Mytilus edulis: one gene and its partners. The protein of the gene in region 1 interacts with the protein of each later gene in a biochemical or structural test. Links are inferred from orthologs where the notes say so. Each region holds a gene or a part of one and is shown on either strand. Other genes may lie near its edges. The genes, in order: ubiquitin-conjugating enzyme E2 N-like, E3 ubiquitin-protein ligase RBX1, helicase-like transcription factor and E3 ubiquitin-protein ligase RNF8-like.

The links.
Region 2: the proteins of ubiquitin-conjugating enzyme E2 N-like (region 1) and E3 ubiquitin-protein ligase RBX1 form a complex in vitro, tested with the Homo sapiens proteins (5 studies listed by BioGRID). The link is inferred for Mytilus edulis from reciprocal best matches to the Homo sapiens genes UBE2N and RBX1.
Region 3: the proteins of ubiquitin-conjugating enzyme E2 N-like (region 1) and helicase-like transcription factor form a complex in vitro, tested with the Homo sapiens proteins (2 studies listed by BioGRID, with this or other methods). The link is inferred for Mytilus edulis from reciprocal best matches to the Homo sapiens genes UBE2N and HLTF.
Region 4: the proteins of ubiquitin-conjugating enzyme E2 N-like (region 1) and E3 ubiquitin-protein ligase RNF8-like form a complex in vitro, tested with the Homo sapiens proteins (7 studies listed by BioGRID). The link is inferred for Mytilus edulis from reciprocal best matches to the Homo sapiens genes UBE2N and RNF8.

The regions. Positions count from the first base shown.
Region 1 is NC_092344.1:52,090,378-52,098,091, forward strand, and holds the start of ubiquitin-conjugating enzyme E2 N-like, read left to right. Parts: upstream 1-4,711; 5' UTR 4,712-4,818; coding exon 4,819-4,860; intron 4,861-7,714. UniProt on the Homo sapiens protein: The UBE2V1-UBE2N and UBE2V2-UBE2N heterodimers catalyze the synthesis of non-canonical 'Lys-63'-linked polyubiquitin chains. This type of polyubiquitination does not lead to protein degradation by the proteasome.
Region 2 is NC_092351.1:23,909,766-23,916,781, reverse strand, and holds the start of E3 ubiquitin-protein ligase RBX1, read right to left. Parts: upstream 3,021-7,016; 5' UTR 2,958-3,020; coding exon 2,862-2,957; intron 1,383-2,861; coding exon 1,355-1,382; intron 1-1,354. Other genes in the region: uncharacterized protein, read left to right, coding at 4,387-4,508, 6,900-7,016. UniProt on the Homo sapiens protein: E3 ubiquitin ligase component of multiple cullin-RING-based E3 ubiquitin-protein ligase (CRLs) complexes which mediate the ubiquitination and subsequent proteasomal degradation of target proteins, including proteins involved in cell cycle progression, signal transduction, transcription and transcription-coupled nucleotide excision repair.
Region 3 is NC_092346.1:81,894,088-81,901,854, forward strand, and holds the start of helicase-like transcription factor, read right to left. Parts: upstream 3,021-7,767; 5' UTR 2,896-3,020; exon of another isoform or gene 2,892-2,895; intron 1-2,891. Other genes in the region: uncharacterized protein, read left to right, coding at 5,940-7,767. UniProt on the Homo sapiens protein: Has both helicase and E3 ubiquitin ligase activities. Possesses intrinsic ATP-dependent nucleosome-remodeling activity; This activity may be required for transcriptional activation or repression of specific target promoters.
Region 4 is NC_092346.1:50,166,053-50,173,295, reverse strand, and holds the start of E3 ubiquitin-protein ligase RNF8-like, read right to left. Parts: upstream 3,020-7,243; 5' UTR 2,948-3,019; coding exon 2,831-2,947; intron 749-2,830; coding exon 632-748; intron 1-631. Other genes in the region: ubiquitin-like FUBI-ribosomal protein eS30 fusion protein, read left to right, coding at 3,031-3,083, 4,092-4,173, 5,199-5,337, 5,629-5,684. UniProt on the Homo sapiens protein: E3 ubiquitin-protein ligase that plays a key role in DNA damage signaling via 2 distinct roles: by mediating the 'Lys-63'-linked ubiquitination of histones H2A and H2AX and promoting the recruitment of DNA repair proteins at double-strand breaks (DSBs) sites, and by catalyzing 'Lys-48'-linked ubiquitination to remove target proteins from DNA damage sites.

The DNA of each region.
Region 1 (7,714 bases):
GAAATTGTTAGAGGGAAATATTGATGTTTTTTTCTATAGAATTCTAAATAGTATGTATAGCAATGGCAGACTCTGTGTGAGGGTAGATAATAAAATAACTGATTTTTTTTAGTTCAAAAGTTGGAGTCCGTCAAGGGGATGTTTTAAGTCCTAACCTGTTTATAAATTTTTCATAAACGATTTGCCCAAAGCTTTAAAGGACAACTGTAGAAGTTGGTCGGTGGAAAAATACACCAAGAGAAAATCGTATATGCTGTCACTGCGATTCAAATACCATTGGTGACGAATATCATTATTTTTTTGTATGTTCCAATAAACAAATTATGTCTTTAAGAGAAAGGTATATACCTACATATTACATAAAAAATCCTTCCCAATTGAAATTTATTGGTCTATTATCACACTGTAACGTGCCAGTGCTAACAAAAGTGTGCATGTTTCTAAGACATATTGAAAAAATATTTTCATAATTCATAGCATGTTACAATAATTTCTAACCACGTTGCAATTAAGAATTTTGCAAACAAATCAACCAAATATATTTCAGTTTTATTGTATGATATCAATTATTAATCTATTGTGTGACTTTCTTGTAAATGTATAAGTATGTATGTAATTTTTAATGTATAATTGTTATCCTCTTGTAGCACCATACGTGTGCCTAAGTTGTAATAAATTGTCTTGTCTTGTCTACAATTAAATAATAAATGTGTACCTTGCCTTCTCTATGCGGATGACCTGGTGTTATTTTCAGATAATAAAAAGGGTTTACAAACCCAACTTATTTTTTATACCAATATTGTAGTGACTGGTGTCTTGAAATAAACACAAAGAAAACACAAATTATAATCTTTAATAAAAATGGGAGACTACTGTCAGATGAATTTAATATAGGTGCAAACAGAATAGAGTGTTTGAAATTCTATAAATACTTAAGGATTAGTTCTTACTAATACTGGAAAATTTAATGCAGCTAGAAAAAAACCTATATGATAAAGAACTAAAGGCTTCTTTTAAATTTTACAAAAACATTAAGTCATTTTCTCCATCTATTAAGACTTTACTTCATATATTTGATCACACCATCAAACCAATGGCTGTGAAATATGGGGTATGTTAAATTTGACTCCAAAAAGAAGAACCATGCATCTTTTTGAAATCTTCAAAGATTGGGAACCTGATAAATTAAATCTTAAATTTTGCAAGTATGTTCTTGGTGTCTCCAAAAATTGTACAAATATTGGAGTTATATCAGAGCTAGGTAGATTTCCTTTGTATATTAACATAGTAATTTAAATGTTTATGTATTGGCACCACCTTGAAAACTCGCCCACTGATCTCTTAAGTGATGCTTATATTGAAAGTTCCTCTGATAAAGCTGTGGCTAATCAATCGTGGTATGCAAACATAAAGTTTTTTAGTGAAAAACTTGGTTTAAATTTAGCACTTTGTAAAAAACTCAGTAAAAATAAATTCAAAATTTTACTTACAAAATGTATCAAAACGGATTTTTTAACATATTGGAGCCATCAAAAAGACTTTTAAAAAAAAGATGATCACAGTAAATTGAGCAACTACTTTAAATTTAGACATAATTTCACTTTTGAAGATTACTTCAAAATTAAGAACAGAGATAAGAGAGTTATACTAACTAGATTTAGAATAAGCAATCATTGTCTCCGCATAACGAAAAATTGATGAACATGGAAAAAATATTAACACTGCCAAGATCGGAGAGAACATGCCAGTTTTGTTCAATGAACTCGGTTGAAGACCCTTTATAATAAGGAAAGAAAAGGCTTTTTATTTTTACTTTATGTGATTACATGCTTGTTATGAGCCCTATGATTAGGAAATAAAATATCTTTATCTTATCTTTATACGACCGCAAAAAAAATATTTTGCGATCGTATATTGGTATCATGTCGTCGTCGTCCGAAGACATTTGGTTTTCGCACAATAACTTTAGTAGAAGTAAAAAGATATATATGAATTTTAACACAAGGGTTATGACCATAAAAAAAAAGTTGGGATTGATTTGGGGAGTTTTGTCCCAACAGTTTAGGAATAAGGGCCCCGAAAAGGGCACAAATAAGCATTTTTCTTGGTTTATAACTTTAGTATACTAGTAAGTAAATAGAAATATATGAAATTTAAACACAAGGTTGATGACCACAAAAGGAAGTTTAGGATTGTTTTTGGAGTTTTGGTCCCAATAGTGTAGGAATAAGGGACCAAAAGGGTCCAAAAGTAAACTTAGTTTGATTTCATCAAAACTTGAATTATTGGGGTTCTTTGGTGTGTCGAATCTAAACGTGTATTTAAATTCTTAATTTTTTGTCGTTTTCAAATTGGTCTCAATTAAGGTTCAAAGGGTCCAAAATTTAACTAAGTTTGATTTTAACAATAATTGAATTCTTGGGGTTCTTTGATATGCTGAATCTGAACATGTACATAGATTTTTTTTATTATGGGCCAAGTTTACAAGTTGGTCTAAATTGGGGTACAAAATTAAACTTTGTTTGATTTCAACAAGGATTTGTATAGTAAATACAAATCCTTGATTTCAACAAAAATGGAATATATGGGGTTCTTTGATATGCTGAATCTAACCATGCATTTCGATTTTTATTATTTGGGCCCCTTTATCAAATTGTTCCACACTGAGGTCTAAAGGGTTCAAAATTGAACTTTATTTGAATTCATCAAAACTTGAATTCTTGGGGTTCTTTGATATTATGCTGAATCTAACCATGTATTTATATTTTATTTATTGGACCATAAAAGGTAAAAGACCAAATTAAAATATTTAAGATTTTAGACCACATTCATTCTGTGTCAGAAATCTATTTTGTGTCAACGTTTTAATCACAACCCAAATGCAGAGCTGCATAAAACTTGAATGGTGTGTCCATACTAGCCCCAACAAGTTCAACCTCTGCGGTCGTATCAAGCTGTGCCCTGCGAAGCATTTTATTATCTAATATAATGAAGCATAACAGAAAAAAAAGTTTCTCTCTAAATATCATAGTTTTCATGATAAATGGCAAAAATGAAAATAAAATATCATAAAACTTGTCATTTATGGGCAATAACTCCTATAAGAGTTTGTCTAGCAGTTTAGTCGTATATATGATAAAGGACAATTGATAGAGCTCATTATTCTGAACTTATTTTTTCATTTCAGATTTTCTCTATTTAATATAACGGTTCAAAAATAATAGATAAAACTTGCTTTTTACTTTTCTACTTTTACCAAGTCAGCCCTGTTGGTTGGTAGGCAGGGTTATCTGACATTTTTTAGCTAGATACTAACCTTAATGATGGTTGTTGCAAAGTTTGGTAAATTTGTCTCAGTAGTTTCAGAGGAGAAGATTTTTGTAAAAGACTACAATAAATTACAAAAAAATATCCAAAATTGACTACAAAGGACAATAACTGCTACAGGGGTCAATTGACCATTTTGGTAATGTTGGCTTATGTGTAGATCTTACTTTGCTGAAAATTTTGCTGTTTGCAGTTTATCTCTATCTATTATAATACTCAAAATAATAACCAAAAAATGTAAAATTTTCTTAAAATTACAAATTCTGAGACAGCAACCCATCAACAGGTAGTCTGATGCGTCTGACAATTTCAGGACAGATACGTCTTGATCTGATGAACATTTTCACCCCCGTTCAGATTTGCTTTAAATGCTTTAGTTTCAACATGGAAGTATTATATTGTCAATATAATACTTCCATGGTTTCAACAACAAATGAAAGATTTTAACGACCTTGACAGGCTATACAGCCCTTGCACGGTCGGCATTAGTTTCATCGGATACATTTTTCAAACTAGATACCCCAAGTTTGGTTTTATTTGGCCCATGCTTTCAGAAAGGAGATTTTTTTTAAAAGTTAGCGGACGACGACGGACGACGGACGCGAAATGATGAGAAAAGCTCACTTGGCACTTTTGGTCCAGGTGAGATCAAAATGCCGGAAGACTATGAAATAGAACCTATTGACATCCAAATCAAGAATAGAAGTGGGTATGGACACTGCTTTCTGTCTCTATATTGCCGGGGTGGGGTGGGGAAGAAAAATAGTTAATATCAAAATCAATAAAAAGCAAATGAAAATTAAGAAATATATGCATTATAGGGATAGAAGAATTCGGTATAATGCAATAATACAAGTACAATTTAGACTCAGCAATAACTCTGATTCGGTAAGTCACCCGTTAAACTCGGGAAAATATTCCATGTTTCAACTTGGTTGATGTTTTTCAGTCATATTGTGCCATTTCGTGGCTGTCAATTTTTTTTATATTTCAGTTGAGGAAGCCGGAGTGCCCGAAGAGAACCACATACCTTCAGTGGTGGATCCAGAACTTTTCCTAAAGGGGGAAAAAGTCATGCTTCAGTGATTCCCTATATAATCAACCAAATGTTTCCCACTACAGGGGATCCAACACCACCACCCCTGGATCCGCCTATGAGTTCTTCGACATGAAAACTGACAATCCGGCCTAGTCAATTACGATTGGAGTCGAGTGCACCTGCCACTTGAATAGTAGGTATTGGGAATTTATGTTATGATAAAATCTTTATTATGCCTAGATAACATTCCGATTTTTACTAGGAGGATTCTGAATCCTACTGAATTCCATTTTTTAATGTGACATATTTAAACAAAGTGAAACAGATACAATAGTGGACGAGTTGCACTGGGGCGAAATACCCATTTTTAACTTCCGGGGAAACGCCATTTTAAAACGTTCTGGTTCTCTCATAAACAGATAAACAAGACTTATTATAAGAAAAAGTAAAGAATGGCCACTGTACCTGGGAATTTACCCCGTCGAATCATAAAGGTGCCAATTATATTTCTCATAAAGTAGTCGGGATTCATAAATGATATCATACTTCAGTGTCTACAACATGATTTGCCATTTTTGAGTGAAGAGTTGAACATCATCATGTACAATTTCTTTGTGAATGGCGAGTTTTGCGGCAATACCTTTTTTTCAGTGATGAAAAGAAATACCATAACATTATTGTTTTAAGTTATTAGTCCAACAAATGATTAAGAATTTGGATGTCAATTCAGGGTTTGGTCCCCTGTTGGTTTCGACATCGGTCTGACATACCGATTTATTGGCGATTACCGGTCTATTTGAAAATCCGGATAAAAGGCCGATATGACTATAAAAGAACTTATTATTATTTGTTATCTTCAACACTAGACCCTATAAGTTGAGAAACTTGAACTGTTGATGTAATTCAACAATCACTTTTAGGTTGTTGCTGAGACTACTATAACATGTGTTATAGTAGTCTCAGGTTGTTGTGTCAAATCCCAACAATCACTTTAAGGTTGTTGTGTCAAATCCGGGTCTGTTCGTCCTGATTCACATTCGCTCAAGTACTTGTTTGCCCAGGTACATTTGTACCTGTTTGTCCAGGGTCCATTCATCTTGATTTGTATTTTTTCTTAATGCTGTCTAGGTGCATAATATTTATTTTGGAAACAAAATATGTTACAGTGGTATCCGGTCGTTCCGGCCCCAAACCGATCCGGCCCCAAGTCAATCCGGCCCACGTCGATCCGGCCCACGTCGATCCGGCCCCAAGTCGATCCGGCCCCATAATAAAATAAGAAATAACTATATTGATCTTGGAGGAATTTGTGACACAGTATAAATGGAATTTGCAAAAAGTGTCCAATGATGGATGACAACAGGTATTAAGTGAAGTATTGGAGTACCAGTTAAAGAACTATTTTAAATCGATACGAAAATGATTGTTATTGTGTCGTTGGTTGTATGGCAGCTTCAACATATTTTAAAATATGAAGTTATTTTCCATGATAACTTTAACTTTAACTCATGGCGATTTCATTTTCTTTTTTTTCATACACAGAATATCTAAATAAATATTTAGTCCACTGGAACCTATTAAATTTAACTCATCATAATGACTTGATTAATCAAATCATTAGTCTATAATTGGTTTGTTTATTCAACAATTGTCTGATGATTGTTAACTAAGGTGATGCCACTTGTAATCACTTAATTAAATCAAATCCTGATTAATTGATCTTCTGGTTAAGGTTGGTGTTTATAATAATTATAAATTGTATTTTTTTCAGGTAACATCACAGGCTTCTATTTACTTGTTTTTTTTTTTTATAATATCAACGAGGTCTTTATAGATTGATATTTTGTTTGGTGTATATAATAATAACCTATAATGGTTTACTTTTATAAACTGTTATTTGGATGGAGAGTTTTCTCATTGGCAATCACACCACATCTTCCTATATCGATATATTTTTCATAAATTTGACAGTATTTTCAATGAATAGTTGTGTGTAGAAAAAACACAAGTTATATGAGTATCCATTATTCTTTATTGCAAGAAAATAACAAAACAATGACACTGAATGCACATTTTCACACTCTAAAATATAATATCAGCACTACTAAAATATAACAATAACATCATACATACTAACTATCTCTGACACTCACATAAATATACATAACCTTTTAATAAATCATTTACACTAACAGTTTTACACTGTCACTTACTTAAAGGAATTGTTTTAATATAATTATACCCAATAATCTTGAAAACTTGAAAAATAAAAACATAATCAACCTAGTTGTTTTATACTCATCTGAAGAATTTTTTTTTTTTTTTTTTTACCGTACACCTTTAACATTATAATAAAAATCATAAACATTTATGAATTACTTTAATATATATCTTTATTTTTATTCCTTATAAATATATTTTTTTATTGGGGCCGGATCGACTTTACATTTGGGCCGGATCGACGTGGGGCCGGATCGACGTGGGACGGATCGACTTGGGCCGGATCGACGTGGGGCCGGATCGACGCGAAAGCGTTACAGTTACAGTTTGTTGAAAAATTCGCCAAATATTTTTATTATGTTATCTTTACATATTTCTGGGTACACAAATATACAAAATGAATCCATGACAAATCGCCCCACACCTAATCGCGCCACTTTTTTTCAAACTTTCCCCACTCTTGTTTACCAACTCGCCCCACTTATGAAAAAGATAAACTCCCATTGCAAATAGGTTTGATAACATGCCCCCCTTATGAAAAGGGTTAAAATCCCGCTGAAATACAGTCTGTCAACTGGCCCCACTCATGACAAATAGATAAACCACTTATAAAAAAGATGCAATCCCATCTTTTTCCCTGCCCACGTCAATACCTTTGAAAACCTAAGTGAAGTGCTATAAAATCAAATTGCTGTTAAAAACTCTGTTTTTGCAATAAAGTTATATATAAATGTTAATCACGCATCAATTGTATGATTATGATACAATTAATAGGTTTCTTTTCAATTGTTATACAAATAACTAAGCTTACAAGTATAAAGTTATTCTCCAATAATGATACGAAAATGTATTTGCAATTATATTTTAAGAATGTTAAAAAAGTTTAATAAATTTCATTTTTTTTGTATTCTGTGTAGATTACAAAAATCAAAATAAGTTTTCATTTAAGTGCGGCTAGTTGGTAGACCTGAAAATTGTATATAGAAGTAGATTTTTCCTTTTTTTCAATAAGTGGGGCGAGTTGACAGGGGAAAAATTAACTGGATTTAACCCTTTTCACAAGTGAGGCGATTTTTTTAAAAAGTGGGGCGAGTTGGTTAACCAGGTTGGGGCGATTTTTTTAATAGT
Region 2 (7,016 bases), on another chromosome or scaffold:
TAATAGATAACAAAATGTTTGACGAAAATGTAATTTAAACCTTCAGCGCATCAAAAAATATTTTGCCTCTGAGGCGTGGAAGCAACTTAAAATTCGGAAATTATATATTATCAGATTATAGGACTATAGTTTACAGGGACTGTATATTTCATTTTCAATCAGTACATGTGCATTTATTATATATTATCAGAGACGTCTCTGATATTATTAACTTATAAATACAATTCGAAAATATTATTTGTTATACCAATTCCTTGCCTTCACTCATTCTACTCGAAATCCCCATATTATCGATAATTTCTGTATATATTTCACGTTTAATTCCCGATTTGATTGCATTTTATTATAAAACCGGATGTGGGTACGCGTAGCCTACGAATGTCAATTTGACTATTCGTACCCACATGCGGGTACGCGCAGACACTGCCTATTAAGAAGGGATATAATTACGATACTGTTGTCAAGTCATTAAAGATTGCATATTTTGGCGTTAATATTGAGTCACTGATAAGGTCTTTGCATCGGAACTAAACACATTTATTCTAAAAACAGTTGTTGGCATGACACGGGTTATGTTCTTCTCATATATGTTACGACTATGATAGTATGATACTAAACCCCTAACGGGAAGGATTGTGCCTGATGTTCATATGATGAAATCATAATCTTTCAGTCAGTTTAATTGAAGTCTGGAGCTGGCATGTCAGTTAACTGCTAGTAGTCTGTTGTTATTCATGTATTATTGTCATTTTGTTTATTTTCTTTGGTTACATCTTCTGACATCAGACTCGGACTTCTCTTGAACTGAATTTAAATGTGCGTATTGTTATGCGTTTACTTTTCTACATTGGTTAGAGGTATAGGGGGAGGGTTGAGATCTCACAAACATGTTTAACCCCGCCGCATTTTTGCGCCTGTCCCAAGTCAGGAGCCTCTGGCCTTTGTTAGTCTTGTATTATTTTAATTTTAGTTTCTTGTGTACAATTTGGAAATTAGTATGGCGTTCATTATCACTGGACTAGTATATATTTGTTTAGGGGCCAGCTGAAGGACGCCTCCGGGTGTGGGAATTTCTCGCTACATTGAAGACCTGTTGGTGACCCTCTGCTGTTGTTTTTTATTTGGTCGGGTTGTTGTCTCTCTGACACATTCCCCATTTCCATTCTCAATTTTATATAGCTAAGGAACACTGAAAACATTCACCACTTAGGACTGGCACATTAAAATATGTGACAGATTTGAAGAAAATAACTCCTGTCTGAATTCAAATGTAAAACTTCTATTCATTGATGTACTTCTAATATTCATCATCATGTCCACCTGAACTAATTTATCACTTTAATAGTGTACATACCCCAGGCCCATAAAGCTACAGCATTCCACTGAAATAGAAAATATTAAAAAATATACTTCTAATATACAAAATGGACAATCAAGTTACAATATGACAGATACAGTTGTATGTAACACTATCATGACTATTGATATTGGGTGTACAGGTTTGCAATTCACAGGCACTTGTCTCAGAATTGTTTTCCCCTATATACCTTTAAACATGTTAAATAATATAACACAAGGTACTTTAATACATGTAACTCACATTTTTCAAAAAATGTCACACGGTCACAAAATTCTGTTATATTTCAGTTTCTCGGTTGTCTTATTTGAAATTAGCTGATTTTTTAACTAATAAAAACACTTGCTATCATCATGATCATAAAACATTGTTATCACATGTAGGAGGTGCGCTTTTGTAGATTTCATACCATAGGCATAAATTAAAAAGGAAATAAGTGGTTCCTACAGGGTGTGTCTTTTTACCACCAAACATCACCGAAAACCACTGAACATCATAAAAACCACCAACCACTAAGATAAACTGTGATATTATACAATAAACATGATAAAATGATAAAACAAATTAAATTAGGTATAATTTAAACAATTTTTAGATTTATATGGGCATCATTTTTATGTTAAAGTCGATAATCAATATAAGGAAAACGTCTCAGGATTCATCACTTTCCGGATTACATTGTGTGTGTTAATATTCATATTTAGTAATCAGTTCAAGTATCCTCAATCTCTGTTCTCGGTTAGATTCTGATATTTGTCTATTTTCTTATTATTGGGACAAATGTTTTATAGAAGAGATAGAAGAAGAAAAAAACGGAAAAAAATATATTTGAGGTGTCCATGGGGGTCTGCAGAGTTCAAAAAGTGGGGTGTTATAGACTCTCCCTTTCTGTTTTCTGTAGATTTTTGGACTCTTAATCTTCTGATTTGTTAAATTAATAACTTGAATATAATATTTAAGACACATTTATAATGATGAAAGACAAAATAATAAACTTTTAAGGTGTTCGGTGGTGTGCGGTGGTGAAGAGACCTACCGGTCCCTATATCATGTATATATATATATATATACTGTTTTTATAACACCAGAAAAACTGGAGTGTACTCTGAAAACAAGGAATACCCAACTTGTCATGACTTGAGCTCAACCTGAGTAAGGCCCTTTGCTTTTGGCCAACTCTAAAATTAGTCCAAATAATTATGACTTCTTTGGAGTCTTGGAAGGCTATTTTTAATTTTTGCTTTGACGTCTTACGACCATGTTAGGCATCAAAGAAAAAAATATAATAGCCTTTCAAGATGTCATACTTATTTGGACTACTCTAAATGTATCTATGATATTAATGATTATGTTCATAATTGAGCTTTCCTTAAATGTTTAATAAAATGTTTCGTATTTTCGTATTTCTAAAATAGTAAAAATAGAACCAACAGTAACACTCAAGATGCGTAGATATTATTTCCGAAAAAGGAATGAGTTTGTGTAAAAGGTCGAAATGTTTTACTTTTTTAACTTCGAATCTCTTCTTTCCAGCTTTGTCTGCTCCCAAACCTGAAGATTCTCCAAGATCACCGTCATCGACATCCATAGCAGCAGCCATTATTTATGAAATTTCCGGCCTTCTAACGTCATCGTCAAATCAGTGCTAAAGTCTTGAGGAGTACTGAAAATTAAATTTGTAGATTTTTATGTGTAACGAATCTGTTAGTTCTTCTGGGTATCAGGTCGTTCCGGCCCCAAGTCGATTCGGCCCATAATTAAAATGAATAATTACTATAAAGGTCGGAGAGTTTGTCAAGTTTTTGATTCAGCGTAAATGAGAAATTGCACATAAATAAAGTTCAGTAAATTTTACTGATTGAAGAGATATATTTTAGGATTGTTAAAACAGATAAATCAGAAGCACGCCGACACCTTTGCTCATATTTTTTTCTGAAAGAGTAATGACACTTGGAATTATCAATTGGGCCTATATGGATGTAAATGGACTATGTTGGAAATTCGAAATGTCATTATAGTAATCATTCCACATCCCAATGTAATATAAATGACGCCATGGTGACCGTGTTGACCCGAGACTACTCTTTGTCATAGTGGTCTCAGTGTTCCCTATCTCTGAATTTCGATGCAGGACGTTTCGCCAACAGTCATTTCGGCCACACTACCAGTTTGGCAACAGTCATTTCGGCCATGCTACCAGTTCGACAACAGTCATTTCGGTCATGCTACCAGTTCGGCAACAGTCATTTCGGTCATGCTACCAGTTCGGCAACAGCTACTGGTCATTTCGGCCACACTACCAGTTCGGCAACAGTAATTTCGGTCATGCAGCCAGTTCGGCAACAGTCGTTTCGGCCATATGCTGCCACGAACTGAGTTCGGACAAACTTTGTAAAGTCATTAATTGCGGCCATGATTTTTATATAAAAGGACGTACATGTTACGTATAACTAACATACGTCCTTGATAAAAGGTAGAAAAAGATTTTTTTTTTAAATTTAAAAATAGTAAAAAAAAAACCAACCATATTAGATAAAGATGTATTTTAATTCAGTAAAAAATGTTACAAAAATATTCGTAAAGTTCACAATCAAATTGAAATAACATTTTAAAAACAAGATAACTTGTTGATAAAAAGTGATGTATATTAATTTAACAAAATATGTTTATCCAGAAAAATCCTCCTTTTTCACAACCAGTGTCTACTGAGAAAAAAAAATTCAGCTCGGTGACCTTGATTTTATACATGTCTGACATTTTTACTTGGTTTTGAATCTATCACAAAATATACTTCATATTTTGGCTAAGTTTGACAAAATTCTTCCTTTTTTTTATTCTCTATCATACCTCTTGAATGCATAATAAGGCAAAGTATGACCGAAATGCCTGTGGACGAACTGGAAGTTTGGCCGAAACGACCTGTGGACGAATTGGTATGTGACCGAAACGTTTCGAACGACCGTCTTTCGTTTCGTCTGTAAATCCGTTAAATAATTTATGTACATGTTGGAACATCTCGGAAAGGAAACATGTCAACTAACCAAACACCAGCCTCCAGAGACCATAAACATGGTCCTGGGGAGACAGAAAGTGCGGTCAAAGATGGAAAAAGTCCTCCTAATCATCCAATATTTGATGCAATCAAATCTGGGTAATTTCAACATATAAATCCAACCAAATCGCACACATCCGTCTCTATCTCTCTTGCACATCATCTGAATCTATAAGTTTTACATGTTTCACTAATGTTTATGTTTTACATAGAATTTTGTAAAGTGAAGTAACCAATAATATAATTTAAAGGGATTCTATTTGTTAGATGAAGCAATGAAAACGTGTTCAAAGTTTTTGTTTAATTTAGAAATTACTGTTTGTTTACTATGTTGCTAGTCATTTACATAATTACAAGGTTTAATAATAGCTACATTTTGAGGTATATTGTGATATATTAGCTGATTGCACCATATTAGTGTCACCCTTGTGTCAATTTTATGCCCTATTTATGGACATTATGTTTTCTGGTCTGTTCGTCCGTTTGTCTGTCCCGCTTAAGGTTAAAGTTTTTGGTCGAGGTAGTTTTTAATGAAGTTGAAGTCCAATCAACAGTTGAAACTTAGTCCACATGTTCCCTATGATATGATCTTTCAAATTAATAGAGTTTTTACTCCAATTTCACAGTCCATTGATAGGGCGAATGGGGCATCTGTGTACTATGACACATTCTTGTTCAAATTATTTTGCAGTTTCTGCATTAATAAAATTGAGAATGGAAATGGGACAATATACCACCATGACCACGAATACTAAATCATACTTGTGAGTGCAGTTTAAAACTTCACAGAATACTAATTTGTTTTTATTAAACTTTTATTATTATTCTTGGTAGGATTGATTTTTATAGTAAAATTAAAACATTGAAAATTATAGGAAGCATAATGCTTCTTTATACATGTAGTATACATTGTTATACCTGTAAATTATTAAATTATCACGATTATCATGATTATTATCCAAATGAAAAATAAGAAACTGAAATTTCTTTGAAAAAATCAATAAACATCATCATGATCATGTGAAAGGCATTTGCCTGATTTTGATTTGTAAATATGAGGAAGGCATTTTACTTCAGACACTATTTAAATGTCACCCTCCCATGCAGATCAATAATGTATTAATAATTCAAAAGACAAGGAATTGAATTCACTATCAATTACTATTTAAAAGACAATGTTCAGTAAAAGTTCTACGTTTCGGCCTTAGGCTTTTTCATAAAACTGTTAACAAAGCATAAATGCATGTTGCTTAACTTTTATTTCTTTTCTAATGATGTGTTACTTTTGTATATGAAGTCATAGTTTACTACTTACCCTTATGATTTTTAAATGACAATACTGACTGTTGACAGAACATTTAGTTTGATAAATTAAATATCAAATGAACAGATATCTCAGAGAGTGATATTGTATACTTATTGACTGGGTATAAGTGAAATAGTAAGTTTTATTGTTTATTGTCTCCGAGGTGCAACTATTGCCCTGATGGGGGGTTCTGATCCCGGATCCTGCTTACTGTTTTGTCAGATTCACGTATCCGGCTTATACTATGTACCTAAGCAATTCTAATTTTTTTGTAATTTCCCGTGTCCCGCTAGACCTTAATTCCCGTTTTCATGGCACAATAATTTGACTTTCCCGTATCACGCTTACGAAAAATCAGCAATCCCGCGTCACGCTTAGACCCCAATGAGACCCACCTGATGCATATCTGAGGGGTCAATGAACTTACTGTTACATGAATATCCAGTCAGCATGGTCAGTAAGTGTTTTATTTGACCAAAGAGACATCAGACAATAAATGTTGGGGCTAAATCAACTATCGTATAAATATAAAAAACAAAAACACAATTATATTGTTTCATGTTTACTTCATTATCATATATATTCTGAATGGTAAAGCAGTTTAAACTACGTTCTGCACTGATAAAACCCTAGATAAAAGGGGTAAAACTCGATGTTGCAACCCCCACGGCATTCTGAAATTAGTCAATACTGTAGCTGCATTTGAAATTCTGCGATATATGATGACGTTTGCGGTTAAATAGTTTCACCGAGGTCCAATAGTTGGAAACTATTGACTGGTCCAATTAAGTTCTACGCTTGCAATTTGAAAAAATAATGAAAATATTGTGTACTTATTTTATATACAAAATGATGACTGAGGTATAATAAAGCAGATTGTTGCCTTGGTAGACAATGTTTTCACAGAGTAACTATCTGCTCTCTTGCCCTCTCAGCTAAGTCATGTTTGTGTTTTAAAAAAAAGCATATAATAGCTTAAATGAGCTGGTAAAAGCAGAATTAGCTATAATTTAACTGTTTACATTGTATACTCCTACATGGCCTACATTGTAGGTAATACTTTATTTGTTAAAAATAATGAAATTTGACTTAGTTTTCACCATAGTTATAAATATACTGTACTGTCTGGACGTACATGTACCGTTAAGGCTTAAACATGTTAAAAACTGTGATTTTTGTTTCAGTATGTTGGTACCAGTTCAGACAGCAGCTGAAGATGGACCATCAGTTTTCTCACTCCGAGATGACAAAGGACACACTCCTGCCCATTGGGCATGTCTTGGAGGCCACACTGTTATACT
Region 3 (7,767 bases), on another chromosome or scaffold:
CTTATGATCATAAACAATCTTCTGTCCAAGTTTGGTACCAACCCAGGATAGTTTAAGAAAGTTATTAAAATTTTAAAAACTTTAACCACAGAGTGAATGTAATATTTCCCAGCAGAAAAACTAAGTCCACTTATAAGTAAAATACGGAAAAAATTGAATTTTATTTTTACAAAATTTACTTCTGGATACTATCTTTTGATCTTAAACAAGCTTCTGTCCAAGTTTGGTAGAAATCCAGGATCGTTTGAGAAAGTTATTCAAATTTCAAAAACTTAAGCCACAGAGTGAATATTTGTGGACGCCGCCGACGACGACGGAATGTAGGATCGCTTAGTCTCCCTTTTTCGACTAAAGTCGAAGGCTCGACAAAAAGGAGACAGAGGAAAAGCATCAAACTATCCTCCTGTATCCCTGACGTCGATTTGTAGCAAGATCATGAAACATATTATTCATAGTAACATCATCAGTCATCTTGAGGCAAATAACATCCTGTCTGAAAATCAACATGGTTTCCGTAAAAATAAAACATGTGAGAGCCAGTTTGCTATTACTATACAAGACCTAGCAGATGGACTCAACAGCAGGGATCAAATTGACAGTGTACTGCTAGACTTTTCAAAAGCGTTTGACAAAGTGCCACACCAACGCCTGTTGAGCAAATGCAGATACTATGGTATAAGAGGGAACACACTTCAATGGATAGGGAGTTTCCTTCAGGGCCGATCACAACAGGTTGTTTTAGATTGAAAGAAGTCAGAAACATCTGGGGTTTCCCAAGGAACTGTAATGGGGCCTCTTCTCTTTCTCATCTACATAAATGACCTGCCAGAACTAGTAACATCTAAAGCTAGATTATTTGCAGATGCTTGTTTACTTTACCAAAAGATATGTACACCATACATGGAAAAACATTAGAAGTAGTGAAGAATGTTAAATACCTAGGCCTTAACATCAGCCACAACTCATCATGGAACTACCATATAGGTACAGTAACCAAGAAAGCGAACATCAATTCTTTCTTGAGAAGAAATATCAGCTCCTGTCATAATAAGATCAAGGCCCAATGTTATACCACAATAGTAAGACCAATTATGGAGTACGCTTGTATCATTTGGGACCCAATAACGCAGAAAAACATCAGAGAGTTAGAAATGGTGCAGAGAAGAGCAGCACGCTTTGTAACTGGGGACTACAGAACCACCGGTAGTGTTACCCAGATGCTTAAAGACCTGCAATGGATTGAATTACAAGAATGTAGAAAGAGAGTAAAGACCATCATGCTCTACCGCATAATACACCCATCTTGTTGCAATACCACCTGAGCAGGGACAAAACTTAAAGGAAGCCCAGTTGCCCATGGCTTCTAGATTTTGAGCTGGGGCCCTTAACTTTCAGGTAAATTTCAGTTGAACATATAGAAACTAATTATGAAATATCTGGTCTGGGCTCCCAGCTTGAAATTCCCAAATTCAGTTCGGGAAAGATACAAATTTGTTAACGCATACGAATTCGTTAACGTTAACAAATTTGTTAGCACAACATTAACAAATTCGTTAACTTCACAAACAAATTGAAATCGGCACTTTGATACAGAAAACGGCATCGCAGAATATGGTTTTGCAATTAGAATACTAACTTCCTGTTCTTTTTGACCGGGAGAATTTAACGTCTGACCAGAAAATTAGCAGAAATACCTCAAGGTTTGTATATTCTACCTCTCCTTCTCCGTAAAACAACATTGTCGGCCATTTTGTTATTGGGACAACTCGACCCTTGTGGATAACCGTTCGTCCCTTAGCTCTTACGTCACACAATTCCGTAAAGAATGCAAATTAAAATACAAACGTTTAATGAGGCTTCTAAGTGAAACTTTTTAGTTTGAGGTCATTGTAGTTTAGTTAGTATTAATTTCAGTTTAATAACAGATTTAGTTTTCATAAAAACGAAATATTTCCATTTTGCTTATATATATATTCTTTTAAACTAATATTATCAAAGACTGATTCAGGGGGGTGCCTGTGCCCCCTCCCCTTTTAAAGGAGCTCCAATCGTGGTTAATTAAGACTTTTTATTGGTTTTTATTTTGTCTGTGGGTCCCTTTTAAAATCCCGTTACAATAAATCCTAATTTTAAACCTTGTACATTTTTTCTCTCATTGAATTAAGATGACTTTTGAGCAGAAAACATATGTATCATTGCAGATGGATGAAACAGAAATTGAATATTACAGTAACTTGCAGAGTGAAGTTAAAAAAATGAAGGCATCCTCCTCTATGTTATATTCACAAAAGCAATAGTTTTATATGCATATAACATTGGTTCTATTGGTGCTAACAAATTTGTTAACGTTAGCGAATTCGTATACGTTAACGAATTTGTACCTTTCCCGAACTGAATTAAGTCCCTGCTGAGCAATCCTTAATACCGAGGGGTGTAGCATTAACAACTAGAGGACATGACACCAGATTCCTACTACCCTACTCAAGAATACAAAACCACCAGCAATCATTTTTTCCATCTAAAATTCGTCTGAGGAATGAACTACCATATGCTGTCGTCACAGCTTCCACTTTGGAAGGATTCAAAGACAGACTCCAGACACCTGCTTTATGTTAGATATTACAGTTTTAATATAACACCACGAAGGCACGATGGCTTTTAACCAAATTTTTGTATATAGTATGTCGGAAAGGTGTTTCCTTTGGGCATAGGCAAATAGTCATTTGCGACAATACACCAGAGGTGGTATGCAAATTATTGGAAGAAGAAGAAGAAGAAAATAATAATTCTAAATTTAGCAACACAACACGGACGGAGGTTTGACAATAAACAGGTAAATGTTAACCCCAGCAAATGCCAAATGGCAGCATGCAAGTACGTCCATATCTTACTTACACAATCTAATAGACCAACTCGTAGTAAAAAAAAAGATTGCTATAACAGCACCTCTGTTGTGAATAGTGCACTAAAATCCTGTTCGTCTGCAATAACTTCAATTTAGTTCAATACGATTTCCCGCCAATTTTCATTTTCCGGGCATACTAGATTAAGTAGTGTGACCCTGATCTCAATTGGTCGCATTCGATTCTTTGAATTAAACAATTGTAACATAGTAAATTTAATGTTCGTCTCATTTTTCATTATACCATGGAAGTATTTTTATTTAATACTTCCATGATTATACCAAATAAAAAATCATGTAACTTTAAAGGCTGTTATTGTTTGTTGTCTGAGTAGGATATTTTTTTGGTAGGAAAACAGAAACATTTTGTTAGTTTTATCACACAATCATTTTTTTCTCTACAAATTTAACACTTTTTAAAAGGTATGGGGAAATCTGGATTTTCAGAATATTTTTTTTATTCATCTTACTTGATCACAATATTTTTATTCATCAAATTGGGGATCAGAAAATTATTTATAAAAAAATTAAACCCCAACCTCCTCTTTAAAGTTTAATGGTTATTTTCATAACAAAAATAAATGCATAAAATTTCTATTTCTATCATTTAAGATCATTTAATAGTGGATCTAGAACTTAATGTGGCAGTGCAGACGGTTTCAGAATTTTTTCAAAAGTGGGCCCCACTGACTGCCATTAGAGGGCCCTCTCCAGTCCTGCTTCCCTGAATCATCATCCAAATTTTCCTAATATTGATTGTCCCAAATATAAAGCTTTACCACAAGTATCATATATATATATACTATCTTGATTCAAGAAAAAAAAATCAAGGTCAGATTAACTTAACCAGAAATACAAGTACCCTTTACAATAATTTCGTCAAGGATTTGTATAGCAAGACTAAACAAACACAGACACTTGTTTCTGTCAATGTGGGGTTTACTATCCACACCGTCACGAAAAATCATGGGTTGACAGAAACAAGTGCCTGTGTATACAAATCCTTGATTTCATACACCAAACAGGTGCAGATCCAGCCATTTTTAAAAGGGAGTTCCCAACATAGGATAAAAGGGGGGGTTCAAACTACATGTTCCCATTCAAATGCATTGATCGTCCAAAAAAATGGGGGATCCAACCCCTGGAACTACCCCTTAAAAACTTATCATTGACTTATGAACCATGAAGAAGAGGTCAAGGTCATATGATTCCTGCCAGACAAATATAAACACCTAACAATCATTCCATACACCAAATAAAGTTGACCTTATGCTTATAGTTTAAGAAAAACAGACCAAAACATAACCAGGTGCTCCGCAGGGCGCAGCTTTATACGACCGCAGAGGTCGATCCCTGAACAGTTGAGGCAGGTATGGACAAAACATTTAAGCGTGATACAGCTCTGAATTTGGATTGTGATCAAATTTTTGACATTATATGGTTTTTTTTACACAAAACAAATGTCAAGATTTTACAAATCAATTAAAGATTTCTTCTTCAAACTTATTTAAATCTAAAATTAAATAGTTGACACAGCACAGTGGCGGATCCAGGGGGGGGGGGGGGGGTTCCGGGGGTGCGCACCCCCCCTTTATTTTTGCCGATCAATGCATTTGTATCGGGACATATGTTTTGCACCCCCCCTGCACCCCCCCCCCCCCCTTTGCCCTGGGTTAGCACCCCCCCTTTCGAAAATTCCTGCATCCGCCCCTGCAGCATAGGTTTCTGACACAGAATGAATGTGGTCTAATGAACTTAAATTTTTTTTTGCCTTTGAGCAATTCACTATGCTGTTGAATATTAATCCTGTCAAAAAAACGTTTGAAGAAATTTTCTTTTTATTTATGAAATCTGAAATGAGAACAAGTATGGACACAACTTTTAAGCTAAATATATTTTAGATAAGATAAGGAAAAAAAAAACTTCATCAGCAACATTTTATATTGGCAAATTTCCAATGAAGTTATTTACATAAAGTTATTGGCAAATAAAAATAGAAAATGACATCATAGTCATGTCTGGGAAATGTCCAACATACATTATCTAAAAACATTTTAGATAAGATAAGGAAAAAAAGCTTCATCAGCAACATTTTATATTGGCAAATTTCCAATGAAGTTATTTACATAAAGTTATTGGCAAATAAAAATAGAAAATGACATCATAGTCATGTCTGGCAAATTTCCAACATATATAATCAACTACTATTCTATACAAAGAAAGATAACTCCAATTGAAAATTAATTGCTATTGCACAATATTGTGCAATTAGATATTTCTTTCTATTGTGCAATACTGTGCAATTGAAAATTTCTTGCTATTGCACAATACTTGATATGGAATCCTGATTTGGACCAACTTGAAAACTGGGCCCATAATCAAAAATCAAAGTACATGTTTAGATAAAGCATATCAAATAAGCCCAATAATTCAATTTTTGTTAAAATCAAACTTAGTTTAATTTTGGACCCTTTGGACCTTAATGTAGACCAATTTCAAAACTGGACCAAAAATTAAGAATCTACATACACAGTTAGATTTGGCATATCAAAGAACCCATTTATTCAATTTTTGATGAAATCAAACAAAGTTTAATTTTGGACCAACTTGAAAACTAGGCCAATAATTAAAATTCTAAGTACATTTTTTTTAAATTCAGCATATCAAAGAACCCCAAGGATTCAATTTTTGTTAAAATCAAACTAAGTTTAATTTTGGACACTTTGGACCTTAATGTAGACCAATTTGAAAACGGGACCAAAAATTAAGAATCTACATATGTTGTGAATTAGTTATAGTTTCAGTTTAGTATTTTATACTCTTTTATTTGCTTAACGTTTTACCGCCATTTTACGTAACAATAAGCCCGCAACGTCGTCACTTGACGACGTCTCTTTGTATATCTTGGACTCTAGTAAAGCATACGAAACATTGAAGACGCTTTTGTGTTTACTCGCCTTTATTATTGATACGTCCAAAACATTGGTGCCGTGACAAAAACAGAAGAATACGAAAGATGAGTACCGCGACAACGAAGATGAAGACCAGACGAGCTGGACATCGGGGAGTTCTTACAAAGTTACTGAAGAAAGTGGAACCGAGTTCCGAGGAACTTTTGCAGGAATATGACGTTAGCGAACTTTCTACCATTCGAGGACTTATTGCTAAAAAGCAGGAAACGATCGACCAACTGAACGAGAAGATTGTGGAGGAATTATCAGAAGAAGAAGTGAGCGAAGAAATAGAGGAAGCCGACAGATACACGTATGACATAGAAATGGCTGTAACCAAACTTTCAAAAATCATTAAGGAATCGGAAATCACAGACAAACAGTCAAGTAAGTCATTGCTAAACCCAAATGCACACGAGTTTATTAATTACACGAATCATCAAGAAAGTCAGCCACAGCCCAGTTTCATGCACGCAAATACATCAGCGTCCGTTTTTTCAAACTCCAGCATGTACCACAAACTTCCCAAATTAAATTTACCAACGTTCGGCGGGAATATGTTAGAATGGCAACCCTTTTGGGATTCGTTTAGTGCTGCCGTACACGATAACCTGTCTTTAAGCGATGTACAGAAATTTAATTATTTGAAATCTCAACTGTTCGGAGAAGCCACCCAATGCATAGCAGGTCTACAAATAACTAACACAAATTACGGACAAGCATTACATGTACTGAAACAAAGATTCGGTCAACCACACAAGATAGTACAAACATACATGCAGAGTTTAATCAGCCTTCCTAGTCCAACGTCAAATATTACACATTTGAAATTTTTTTACGACAGCATGGAAAACTACATCCGTGGCCTTGAAAGTATAGGAGAGTCTCAAGAGTCGTTCGGAAGCCTTTTAGTGCCCATAATATTAAATAAACTACCTGGGAATATACGAGAAAACATGGTACGTGCCCACGGAGGCGACCACTGGAACTTGCCGTCGTTACGGCAAGCTATTCAACATGAGATAACGATTAAGGAAGCAGGTCAGTCGGTAAACGGGGATAATATAGAGCCAAATTACACACCCACATCAGCATTCCTTACGGGTACAAATCGTAACTACGCTAATCAAAAAGGGAAAAGAGACATAACCAAGAAGCCGTGCATCTTTTGTCAAGGAGTTCACGCCCCGTTAGCTTGTAAAAATGTCATGGAAATAGAAGATCGAAAACGAATTGTTAAGGAAAAACAGGCATGTTTCAATTGCTTAGGAAATCACAGAGTTGCCGATTGCAAATCCGATAAAACATGTAAAAACTGTAATAAACGACACCATACTAGTATTTGTTCAAAGAATGAAACACACTTGTATACCAAGTCTAAAGATAGCAGTACATCAAAACCAGATACCGATGCCGCAGTCGCAAGCATGCATTCATCCACATCATCGGTTAGATCGCAAGTATTGTTGAAAACCGCGATAGCACCTATCACGTATGACAAGACACATTTTAACACCGCCAATATACTATTCGACGAAGGAGCCCAGCGAAGCTTTATCACTCAAGAGATGGCCGATTTATTGAACCTGAGACCACATAGGAAAGAAGCGATAACGATATCCGGTTTCGGTGAATCCAACAAGAAGGTTAGAAATTTACCAATTGCTACTATCTATATAAAAGGTCTAACGAATATACTTATCCCTATTGAAGTTCTTATAGTACCACAGATTGCTTATCCGATACATACATACGCAAGGAACCAGTCGAGTTTTACGCATTTAAATGGATTGAAGTTAGCCCACCCAGCTTTACAGGACAAGGATTTTGAGATATCAGTCTTAGTTGGCGCCGATTATTATTGGGATATAGTTGGAGACAGAGTAATTAGAGGTTCCGGACCAACCGCTGTAC
Region 4 (7,243 bases), on another chromosome or scaffold:
TCTTGAATGGTCAACAATAATACATCACTCAAGGTGAATAATTATCTATTTTAACATAACAACTAATTTCAACAGTAAAAACAAATAACAAAACATTGTCCAATTTGAAACAGGAGTGTACGAGTTGTCCTATGCTTCAGACTCGACATTCACTAAACATGCATGCTGAAATTGACATGGTTGTTTTTGTTACACAATCATACACATTCAAGTTTTGAAATCGATAGTTGTCATCGTAGAAAAGACTGCTGTTCATGTGTGTATGTTATCAGAAAATTGGTGTTTCTTATTGCTCTAAAGAAATGTTTGAAAACAAACAGAACGTATAAAAGTAATCGTTAATTCGCAATTGATACGTCATTGGAATGCAACTGCAATACACATTCTGAGGTCACACAGGTTCATATAATACTCAGTCTGGCAGTGGGCGGAGCTTTAAAGCATTATCTGTATAGTATACAGATACAGCATAGCAATATCTGTAGGGCTTTATCTGTATAGTACAACACCCAATTGCAGGATAAATCAATATACATGTACATGTATGATCAAAACATCTTTATTTATTTCTCAAACAATAACTTCAGACAAAGGATTGAATTAAATAAGATTGTATGTGGCTATTACGTACCTTATTGTCTCTCACAGTCCACTGTCCCTCGTCATTACATTTGAATATGGCATGACATCTTGATATCATGTTAGACAAGAGACAAACTGTGACATCTGGCGCTCTCCCTACAGTAACCTACAAGATAAATAAACAGATATTTTAATAAAATACAGCAGGAGTCTCACCATGACAACTCCATTGAATTCTGCAGTCATGAAAATCTGCAAGGACTATTATTTAATTTTCCAAATAAGTGAATCCAAAGATGTACAATGTATCAAAATCATGTAAGTTGAGTCCAATAATCTTCATTTACTGAGAAAACCACCGACCTTGGATTGAAAAAGTTCTGAAAACTGAAAAAAAAGGATTTACTGGGATGAAACATTTTTAAGATATAAAAGCCCTACTGGTTACATGTTACATGTACAATAGAGAACATCTTTGTTTCTGTACCATATCAGTAATTAAATGACTCTACAATATAATGGATATGTTTTTGAGTGTCAAAGTCCTGCCTACTAAAAGAAACAAGAAATCACAGGAAAAAATGTAATATTAAACAAACTTAACACAGTATCTCCTGCAACAGTTGTTGCTTTTACAGAAGGTTCTTGCCAACCCAACTCCCTTATTAAATCTATCCAAAAACATCGTGGAATAAAAATTAATTTTGAATGGACCCCAGGACATGCAGCTAAAGAGGCAAATCAAATTAAAAAAGAAGCTCATATTACAGTAACTAAACAAGATATTAAAACAGCAGCAAGAATTTTAGTGAAAAAGTGGCAACATAGATGGGATAATAGTGATACAGGAAGATTTTATTACAATTTTCATCAGATTGTCAGCAAAAAATCAACATTTGATTATCCAGATCATAAAACAGCAAAAATTATTAGAATTTTAAGATCCGGATACCATCTAAAAAATTACATTATTTACTATTTTGTGAAAATTATGAAGAGGCTAGACAGAAACTTATACATGAGATATACTTAAACACAGGATCGTTGCATATTGATTTGGAACTTTTATTGTCATGATGGAAAAAAACGACAATGTCTCCATCTCTAATGAAACACTAATGCGATTGTTGGGTGGCTTTATTTGCGAGTCACGCCGGTTTGATTAATGAAATATTAATTATTATTTCTTTTTTTTTTCCTTTAAATTTTCATGTTAATTAATAAATGTATTATGTTTTTAATTTTCAGTGTAATTGTTTGCCTTAAATTAATGGAGAATAAAGGCTTTTTCCCCTGGAGAAGAATCCCAATTTGAAAAAAAAATGGCTTAAAATTATTCCCAAAAAGACAACTTTTTCCCAAACAGTGCAGTCTCAGTAGTTATTTTGCATGAATACAAACTGAAAAACACTAGTGTATACATTTTACAAGCCTAAAATTACTATATGTGCAGATTTGAGGGTCTATTTATGTATCATCATTGACAAAAGCAGTCTTATTTTTAAACAGGGTTTGACTCTTGAAAGCGGGTCTGTAAATTGAAGTTTCAGTCAAATTCATTGTTTAATCTAAATTTCCCAATTTGATGAAAATTACGCATATTTTCCCAATAAAAAAGGGTACAGGTAGTTTTGAAAAAAGCCAACAATATCACTGATTTTTGTCAAAATATGTTAAGCACAGTCATTGACAGTTGCCACCTAAAAGTATATATTTTAAAGTACAAGTGAGTTGTTTACCAGAGTGAAATATTTACACGCGAGACTTGAACAATTAAAAGAGGGACAATCCAGTGTCAACAGCGACACCTACAGAATACAGAATTTCACGTGTCACGCTTATTAAAAAAAACGGCAATCCCGCATCACGCTTAGACCCTAATGAGACCCACTATCTATGTGCTGCCTAGCTGAGAAAACGTAGCTCTATTGTCTTATAAATTTTTTTTTGGCATAATTTACTGTCCGCAAATATCAAAATCATCAAAAGAACTTCATTCGCAGCTAGACCATAGATGCTGCCAGGCTAAAAAACTTTTCAAATCAGTTTTGTCTGTACTCAGAGAAAATTTCATGGTGTAAACACAGTCATTTTGTTAAAGTGTATTGATGAACCTCAACTATGTTTATTGTCTACAGAGAGAGGGGTATCTATAACTTTTCTGGACCTCATAAGATTTATTTGTATTACGTATTTATATCATGGTTATAATATATTTTTGAAAGGACAATTTATGTAAATAGCATACTTCGGTTTTCTTTTCAAGGCTAATAAGCTTGTGCTTCTTAACATTATCGCCAATGCGATGAAGACAAGGGATGTATGTTGTTTCTTGGTCTTTGGTTTGGCTCAGTTGCTGAGACATTTTTGCTTCTCGATTTAGATGAGAGCGCTCTGCGCTAGTCGTTTGTGCTTTACGTCATAGATTTCGGGGTAGTATTTCCACGCATGCGTACAAATATACTTCCTTTTTGGACTGATTTTGCATTGCACCAGCACGTGTAAGTCTTGTTAGATGATTATTGTCCTATTTTAATGTATTTTCACTATATTAAAAGTTGATAAAATATTGCACGTTCCTCAGACCACTTTTTGACGAACAGACAGGTATGTGCTCGGCTAATTTCACTCCAGCTTTTCATATGTTGATAAACTGTAAATCTCACCCATGCTGAAGACGGGATATCCATAAATATATAATATTAATAATTAATTTGGAACACATATCATATGAAGTTAGTGCTAGAAATTTTCTTATTCAGTGTATGACCAAATCAGATAATCGCTCCACATCATATCAGAAAGAATTGGTACCAAGACTAAGGAGAGAGATCACTGGCTACTGTCTTCAAAAGATGACTCCTACTAAACAAATTTTTCATAAAATCATATTAATCTTAAAACCTGGTATCAGTCTGTTTCAAATCTGTTCCAACTTGTCCAGCCAAAATTAGAAAAATGAATAATTTCTTTAAAATTGGAGGATTTTGTGACGCATCTCATCAATAGACGTATTTACACTTGTTTGCAAATTTGTCCGCCATTACATAAAATCACACAGGTTCCCGTAAATTTGACATCATAATTCAAAACATTTGACGTCACAACTAAAAGGTTATTGTTGCTTGACGTCAAAAGGTTATTCGGAGGTGATATAAGGTCATTCAGAGGCACAATACAGCTAAATACCAAAAGTGTAAATACGTTTATAACTCATGAAAAAAATAGTGAAAATTCATCCTACAGGATCGGAGGAAAAATAATTAAAAAAACAAACAAACAAAAAAGTTAAAACAGCATTGACGATTGGTCAGGTTGGTGATGATGATGATGTAGGTTTACAAAAGTATTGTAGAAAACTATATAATTAAAATTGTCACATCTACACGACTACATGTAGTTTTGACGGAATATTGTTCTCATTGATATTGAAATGCATTTAGTGTATGAAGAATACAACTCGACCTACTGAAACATAATTATCATGTTTATTTTATTTTTATCTCTAGGTTAAACATGCAGCTTTTTGTACGGGGTAGCCAAACCCACACCTTTGAGGTGTCAGGAACAGAAACCATTGCAGATATCAAGGTGAATAGAGAAATTAAAAAAAAAGATGTTTTTTGTCACAATAAGATTTTAAAATTTACATCCAGATTATTGTTAATGTTCCGTCTGCATCAGAAATGTTTTCAACTCCGAAGACCAACATTCTGACATTTTTCTTATTGGGCCAAACAAAGTTGCAAAAACTTATTAGTCCCAATGAAATTTGACTAGTCTGGGGCATTGGACTAGTGGCTAACCATGCAGACTGAATGTTTCAAAAATATGATTTAATTGTACCTGTCAGAATATGAAAATTGCTGTTTATTTTAATACAAAATGTATCTATTCAAATTGCTGTAAGTTTTAGTCTTAGCATGTAATTTGATATGTATACATGGTGTTCAGTTGGATTATAGCCTGTGATTCTCACTGTCTGCTCCACACTAGTGGACTGGATTTGTAGGGTATGTCAAGACAATTGCATTCAACTGGAATAGATAAGTTAAGTTAAACAAGATTAAAAGTGGAAAAGTATTGTGAAAACGAAACAAATGTCGACTTTCACAAGAAACATTTAGATTTGAATAGAAAGATTAAATATTGCCTATACCGTTATAAATTAATGTAAAGCTTGGGCTGACCACATACATGTACATGTAAATGATGTATCAACCCTTTTTGTACAAGGCCATCTTTTATTATTATTACACTATATATAAAGCCACAACAAGAGCATCCTGTTTCTACCACTTGAGAACCCACTGGTCTGCTCTCTGAGTAAACTGGTTTCCACATTTTCCTCAGTGATCAGATAACTTATGACATGAAAGTCATGAAATATGAAGAAAGATATATTGAAAAAAGCTGTGGAAGATGCCAGGCACAAAACAAAGACCAATGGTATACAAAACAAAACATACAATCTAAGAACAGGACAACAAGAACCTAATTACATGATTAAAACAAACAAAAATGAGATTGATCACTATCAAGTATCATTAACATATTTATGACATTTTAATAGATTTGTAATTATTTTAAGTGAACCTGTAATTTTATGATTTTAGAGCTTTTTACTAGCAAAGGATGGATTTCCAGTTGAAGAACAGGTTATTATGTTTGGAGGAAAACCCTTACAAGATGATTTTCAGCTAACTAGCGTCGATGAACTTTCAACTCTTGATGTTGACCTCAGAATGCTTGGAGGTAATATTTTTTTTTAATTTGGCCACTTTTTCATCAAATATTTATTAGCAACCTTACAGCCTTCAACTTTGAGCATAAACTACTTGTATACCATATAGTCAGCAGTTCAAAAGTCCTGACACGAAAAATATGAAACACTAATTCATCTGAAAAAACTAGCAGTCTAATTTACATAATACAACAAATATGAGTCTTTGTTTGAATCTTCTTCCTTTCTTTCCAATGCCAATACAAATCTTTTAGACTATTCCTACCTGAACTTTATTTAAAAATATTTTTTTTTATCAACAGGTAAAGTTCACGGTTCTCTTGCTCGTGCAGGAAAGGTCAAGGGACAGACACCTAAGGTAAGATTATTCTGTATGATAATACAAAACTCAGATTATTATACACTGAATTAGATTGAATTTCTTCTAGTTTAGTGTCCATAGATCGTTATTTGTTTTTCGTCACTTCATTGTATATTACCATTCGGCTAGACAGGGCCGACTATAATAGACTTGTTTCACAGCTGAAATGTTTTTGTTGACATCATATTACATATGCCAGGGTTTGACACTAACATTAGAGGTGATGTAGTCCACAGGACTACCAAGAAAAATTTTGGGTAGTCCTGGTAGTCCACCTCCATCACCGGTGAGGGCCACAACGCGGCCCGAACTAGCTAGGGGGGTTTGGGGGCATGCCCCCCCAAGAAAATTTTTCGAAATAAGATGCAATTTCCTGCCATCTGAGCACCTCAAAAGCACACAAATATTCATTCGAGTTTTGAAAATATTTTGTTTTTTTTTCAGATAAAATAAAGTTGACATTCAGTGAATAAATTTTATTACTCCTGAACTTTTACCGTCAGAAAATTTTGAAAAATGAAATGCAAAATCTGCAATCTGAGACAATTTCTAAGGCCTTGTTAGGTGGAGTTATTTGACCTTTTATTCCAGAATTATTTAGAAAAAAAGGATAAAAATAAGTCAAAGTTTTCATTAATTCTTCAAACAGTTTATAAGATTTTTCTTGTAGTGATACAATATATTAATGTCTTTGTTTGTGAACTAGAGGTCAACTTCATCATCACTGTTGAAAGCAATTCAGTGGATATGTTGCTATTATTTTATAATGGTTATATTCTCCCACTGATAGATTATTGTTGTATTATTTGGAGTGGTTGTGCTAAAAATGAGCTAGTCAGAATAATAAAATTGCAGAAAAGGGCTGCAAGACTTATTTTAGATGCTGATCCACTTTCATCACCAGCTCTACTGTTTAAACAGCTTGAATGGATGACAGTAGAGAACAGAATCTCATACCACAAATCAGTTTTGATGCATAAATGCCTTAAGAATGAAGCCCCTTTATATCTCCCTGAAAAGTTTAAATGCCAGAAATAAACCAATATTGTTTGAGAAATGCCTCTTGCAAAAATTAACAAGTTCCAAAAGCCAAAACAGAGCTTTATAAGAAATCTTTTATATATTCAGGATCTATTTTATGGAATAACTTACCAATATCCCTGAAAAAATCAACCTCAAGTACAAGCTCATTCAAAAAAGATTTAAAAAAATTACTTGATGGAACATTAAGAAGCTATGCATTTTTTATATGCATAATAATTTTCACACATTTACTCAAACTTATGATATTGTTGATGCCAATACTATACATGTCATATATGAATTTGTAACTTTTACCTGTTTTGAAAATTGTATATTTCATAACAATTTTTTATTTCATTATTCATGTATGTGTGTCTGTTTGATATTTTGTAATTGTTTGTTATATTTCATTGTATTTCATGAGGGCCTCAGGGAAGATTACAGCTAACTGTGTAACCCTCTTTAAATAAAGAATTATTATTATTATCATTATTATTAAAACAAAATGTCTTTAATACCATTTTGAATGACAT